Regions from separate parts of the Mus musculus genome. Here region 1 is reported to be linked to region 2. The links are microRNA targets in miRTarBase. Many come from high-throughput screens and were not tested one by one. Region 2 holds a microRNA gene; the other region holds the end of a gene's coding sequence.

Region 1 (3,075 bases), not on the chromosome of region 2:
TACCATTAGCTTCTAGAATAGAACTTGAAATATAGTAAGTGATCAATAAGACTTGTCAGATTAATAAAACAAGACTCAGCATGAGCAGTCAAGGAAAATTAAAAGTGTTCAGTGGGTTCTGTGTATGTCACATTGCTAATTTGTGTATTTCTTTTATTGTTTTGTAGGGAAAATCCAATTGTTGGAAAAATATCATAGTTTGACCAACTGATGGAGAACTGGAAAATACTCTTTTTCATCAAGTTTTTCAGTTCACCCCGTTTTGTTCATAGTATGTAAGAATGGACATCGGCTTTGATGATACATGCTGTCTGTCATAATGTATAATATTTAATGATTGAAATTAACTGTTTGGGGATCCTGATGCTGATGTGTGTATTACTAAAGAATTTGAAACCCAAGATTTCCTCCATAGCCATGCATCCAGCCCCGTGTCCCTGCAGCTTCCTTCTGATGGGAAGGGTCTTCCTGAGGACCCAAGCAGCTCCGTAACAAGGGAGCACTTGACAGCAAGACCCCACCTCCACCTGGAGCACTCCTGTGTCACTCACCACCGTCAGTGCCTCCTCTGTGCTGCCAACATTGAGTTTACTATAGAGCTAGAGTTCCTTGTCGGTCAGAACTTTCCATTAAGTTCATCTGGACGTTTGTCTTTAAAAAAAAAAAAAAGGAAAAAAAAAAACCCTTTTCCTCTGTTGTGTTAGCCATTACAGGTTAGAGACAGACACAGACATCTGAACACCTTTGAAAGCTGGCGGGTGTCTCTCCTGGTCACAGGTGAGGGTGCTCAGCTGTGAGGGGATGTGTGCTCCTGTGTGCACCATGTTTACATTGGAGTGGGGGGTGGTGCCAAGACAGTGGACCACTAAAGTGGCCTTCATTGTTCAGCTGTCAGGGACTCGCTCTCTCCGAGAATTCAGGTTAGCACTCCTCCTGAGGGCAGCTCTTCCCAACCAGAAGAGAAGCATGAGTGAGTAGTGAGGAGATCACCTGATGTTGCCTTCTGTCCCACATCATAATAAGGGTGTGTAAGGATACCCTCCATAGTGTTAGGTCCTGCTCTAACTAGAGAACGGTCACTTGGCGCACTTTAATAATCTGGCACATTCCAGGTTGTGGTTTGGATACTCCGTAGTATCTATTTTTTTGATCAGTTGAATGATCAGTGTTTAAATATCAAACCGTGCTTTCCTGAAAATGTTGATATTGTATTGCTGTTTCCTTATTGCCTGCTAGCCAAAGGGGATCAGGGGCAGCAACTGTTGGGATACCTGTGTTTCCTTACCCTCCTCTGGCCCTAGAAACCCTACCTGTAAATAAGCAGTTGAAGCGAGTGTCCCTGAGGAGGAGTGATACACTCGGCTTCATCAGTATTAAAACCTATGGTACTTACTTGTCTTTTTTAATTAAAACTATTTTCTGAGTGTGGTACTTTGAACCTTGGTCTATTTCCATATGTTCCTGTTGAAAACTGTGACTTACTGGTGGAAGTCTCACTAGCTGCAATCCCCTGTCGTTGAGCTTAAGCTATAGTTCAAAATATACTTACCAATTATGTTGTTGCTGGGTAATTATTTTTACTTCATTAGCAGGTATTTTAAAGATCATTAACACAGAGAATTGTCCCATTATAAACGTCATGACTGAAAATAGATTTTTTTACAAATGACTTTTAAGTCAGTGCTGGCCTGCATTGTGCTACGCTGTGACTCCTGGTCCATACTGAAGCTTAAAAGAGTCCTTCAAATCTGACAGACTTATGGATCTAATTAACTATACTGTTACAGGTGTTTTTTAAAAACATTAGCCATTTAATAAATTTATCATGAACTTCATATTAAAATGCCTACTTAGATTCTCTCAAATGTCTTCCTAAAAAGGACAAAACCCAGGGGCATTGAAGTTCAAGACTCTAGAGTGGTTTGGGATCATCTGTTCGTTGTTTTGTTTAGGGGTTTTTCTCCCTCACCCCACCCCTCAAAAAAGGATGATTTCCTAATGATTTCTTCACTCTATGTCCCTGGCTGGCCTAGAACTCATAGAAATCCACCTGCCTCCGCTCCTGAGTGCGGGGATTAAATGTGTATCACCACATCTGGCTCACCTGGTCTTTCTAATATCAAACTCCAATTGCAAGTATTTTTAATGATCATAGGGTCACAGGGGCCAAAGCTGTATACATGTGTAACTCTGAGAGCTCAATATTGTAGTTCTTTTATTCACATGACCTTTTAAACAGCCAGCTTGACTGGAATTAATTAGCCAGCTTGGTACAGTGTAAAAAGAGAAATACAAAACTAATTTTCTTTAGTAAGTCTTTTCCAATCAGAAACTATGTCCACAGAGTCCAAGGACAGTCAGGGCCCTTCTCGGGGCTTCTCCTATGCTGTGCTCTTGCGTACTTAGAGTCTTACCTCCATGGTCTCCTTTCTCTGCTTCTGCAAAGAGCATTTGAAAAAAAAAAACATATATACGTACACACACACACACACACACACACACACACATGGTTTTTGTATATGTATATATATATACACACACACACATGTATGTGTATGTATATATATATATATGAACAGAAGATGATAGGAGGAAACTTAGCACAGTCACTCACTAGCTCTGACTCCTAGTGGAGCTGTATCCATCCATTGAGATTATACTGATCTGTTGTTTAGCTTTCTTTTAAATCATCACCTGGTAAGACACTGGGCAACAGCAAAAGTTTTGGTTTTGGTTTGGTTTTTTTTTTTTTTTACTCCCAGGAATATAATTTATCAAATCAAACTATTTTGCTTACCAAAGAACTATGTTTTTAATATCACGGGTAATAGCTAAGCATCAAAACTGGGCTCTTATTTTACCAACAAGAAACATCATGTGACTGATGGCTGGGGTTTGTCTGTGTCTCCAAGGCCGAATTGCATTCTTTTACTGGAAAAGTTCATTCAAGCTAGGTTTTAGAAAATACATTCCTTTTAAGTGAACACACCTTCTAAATTGCTTTAAGTACTATTGAATAGCCTAAAAGATGGACTCCGCAGTGCTTTCTAGTGTCCCCACCTATGTGACAAATGC
Region 2 (3,130 bases):
TATGTATATGCATATATATACACATATATGGACACATACATGTGTACACAAATACACATGGCAATCATCCATTTGATTTATATGTGCTTAGAGTTTTATAGAGTGCATATTCATGGGACAGGAAACATCTCATTAATCAGATGCAAACCATTTGCCAGAGTCAGGAGGATCTGGAGTTCAAATTCATGTTTAACTTCATGATGAGTTAGAAATCGTACTGGATTTATGTGATGGACCCTAGGTATGTGCATGTGTGTGTAACTTTGTGTGAATGTACATGTATGCATATAATTATACATATACATACACATGCATGCACACATACAGACTTGAATACTCACACACATAAGTATGACTCTCATTGATCAATTTGAATGATATATGTCATTGAATTTTATTGATTATGAAGTAGAAGGACACTGAATGGTCTCACTCAACAGGTGTAAAAAATTGACAGTGTCAAGAGGATCAGGTGTTTAATTTCATGCTTAACTTCATGAAAGAGTGGTGCAATGTGATGGTCCCTATGTATGTGCCTGTGTGCATAAGTGTGAGCATGTATATGTGTGTATATTTTATGCATATACATACACACACCTATATACACATGCACACAGACATGCGGGAATGGCCCTCACGGATCCATTTGAATGATATGTGACCTACTGCTTTGGAGGTTATGTATGACTGGGCCAGAGTGAGGTCTCACAAACCACGGGAAAACCCTTGGTAGAGTCGGGAAGATCAGGAGTGCAAGTTCATGGTAAAGGCATGATGAGTTAGAGGTCATCCTGGCATTCATGTGATTGCCCCTATGTATGTGTATATGTGTTTATGTGTGTGTACATGTACATGTGTGAATATGATGATATATACATACACGCACACATAAGACACATATGAGCACACAGACACACAGGAATGGCACTCACTCATCGATCTATGTGACTGTGAGCTTTGGAGATTATGTATGACTAGATCAGGGAGAGTTATCACCCATCATATTAAAAATGCTTGTTTAAATCAGGAGGTCAGGAGGTCAAATTCATGCTTTATTTCATGATGACTTAGAGATCTGCCTGGGAATCATGTGATGCCCCCATGTATGTGTATATGTGTGTAACTGTGTGTGGATTTGTGTACATGAATATACATACCTACACACACGTAGACCCATACACAGACACACATATGAATGCCACTCCTCAGTCCATTTGAATGATATGTGACTTAGAGTTTTAAGATTCCTCAGTACTGAATAGGGAGAGGTCTCACTCAGCAGGTGAAATCCCTTGCCAGAGTCAGGTGGATCAGGAGTTCAAATTTGTGCTGAATTTCATGATGAGTTGGAAATCAGCACGGGATTCATGTGATGCCCACCAAGAATGTGCATGTGTGTATAGTTGTGTGCATATTCATTTCTCTATATGAATATGCATATGCACACATGCACACACATTCATAGGAATGGCCAGAGTTATTTCTTAGGTAGGAGGTGAATAATCTTGCTAGAGTCAGGAGAATATGGTGTTCAAGTTTATGTTTAACTTCATGATGCATTAGAGATCAGCATGTGTTTCATTGATGCACACCAAAATGTGCATGTGTGTGTAGTTGTGTGCATATTCACTTCTCTATGTGAATATGCATATACACACATGCAGACACAGGAATGGCACTCATATATCCTTTGGAATGGTATGTGACTCAGAGCTTTAGAGCTTATGCAGTGCTGGGCCAGAGCTATGTCTCAGTTAGGAGGTGGATGCTCTTGCCAGCGTCAGGAGGTCCCAGAGTTCAAATTCATGTTTAACTTCCTGATGAGTTACAGATCAGCCTGTTATTCATGTGATTGTTTCTGTGTATGTGTATAGATAAGTTTGTCTGTACATGCGGATATATGAAAAGACATATATTGACACATATTCACACATGCATGCATACAGAAACACATGGCAGTCATCCATAAGTTTTATATGTGCTTAGAATTTCATAGAGTGTATATTTATGGTACAGTGAAATATCTCGCCAACTAGATGAAAACCGCTTGCCAGAATCAGAAGTCTTGGAGTTCAGAATCATGCTTAACTTAATGATCAGTTAGTGATCATCCTGGATTCGTGTGATGGACCCTAGGTATGTACATGCACACATAATTTTGTGTGCATGTACATGTGTGTATATGATTATACATAACACACACACACACACACACACGTATAAAAGCAAGCACACACACACCAAGGTATGGCATTCATCGATCCATTTGAATGATATATGTCTTAGAATGTTACTGATTATGCAGTAGAAGGACAGTGAATGGTCTCACTCACAAGGTGTAAACAATTGGCATTGTCAGGAGGATCAGGAGTTCAATTTCATGCTTAACTTCATGAGCAGTTAGAGATCATCCTGGAATAATGTGATGGCCCCTATGTATGTGCCTGTGTGCATAAGTGCGCGCATGTATATGCGTGTATATTTTATGCATATACATACACACACCTACACACACATGCACACAGACATGCGGGAATGGCCCTCACGGATCCATTTGAATGATATGTGACCTACTGCTTTGGAGGTTATGTATGACTGGGCCAGGGTGAGGTCTCACAAACCACGGGAAAACCCTTGGTAGAGTCGGGAAGATCAGGAGTGCAAGTTCATGGTAAAGGCATGATGAGTTAGAGGTCATCCTGGCATTCATGTGATTGCCCCTATGTATGTGTATATGTGTTTATGTGTGTGTACATGTACATATGTGAATATGATATCCATATACATACACGCACACATAAGACACATATGAGCACACAGGCACACAGGAATGGCACTCACTCATTGATCTATGTGACTGTGAGCTTTGGAGATTATGTGTGACTAGGTCAGGGAGAGTTATCACCCATCATGTTAAAAATGCTTGTTAGAATCAGGAGGTCAGGAGTTCAAATTCATGCTTTATTTCATGATGACTTAGAGATCTGCCTGGGAATCATGTGATGTCCCCATGTATGTGTATATGTGTGTAACTGTGTGTGGATTGTGTATATGAATATACATACCTACACACACATAGACCCATCCACAGACACAGACACACACACGCATGCCACTCCTCAGTCCATTT

What was found. Region 2 holds the annotated microRNA mmu-miR-466e-3p (UAUACAUACACGCACACAUAAGA, at 872-894, shown strand). A microRNA usually pairs through its seed, bases 2 to 8, with sites in the 3' UTR of a target mRNA and lowers its output. Matches are read on the target gene's strand: a 7mer-m8 pairs with bases 2 to 8, a 7mer-A1 pairs with bases 2 to 7 and ends in A, and an 8mer does both.
Region 1: the mRNA of Rasa2 is a reported target of mmu-miR-466e-3p. Seed matches in the 3' UTR shown: 7mer-A1 at 320-326, 8mer at 2,519-2,526 and 8mer at 2,555-2,562.

The regions. Positions count from the first base shown.
Region 1 is chr9:96,539,568-96,542,642 of GRCm38, reverse strand. Rasa2 (RAS p21 protein activator 2) reads left to right here. Exons shown (of 24, transcript NM_053268.2): 24 at 168-3,075. The coding sequence ends at 198. Among named protein-coding and RNA genes, the nearest start is that of Gm28729, 16 kb to the right of the region's middle.
Region 2 is chr2:10,505,187-10,508,316 of GRCm38, forward strand. It overlaps Mir466p (microRNA 466p), which reads left to right and starts at 820; the gene lies at 820-908. All of the region lies in intron 10 of Sfmbt2 (Scm-like with four mbt domains 2), which reads left to right. Mir467e (microRNA 467e) reads left to right here and starts at 535; the gene lies at 535-621. It overlaps Mir467d (microRNA 467d), which reads left to right and starts at 2,444; the gene lies at 2,444-2,528. It also overlaps Mir466.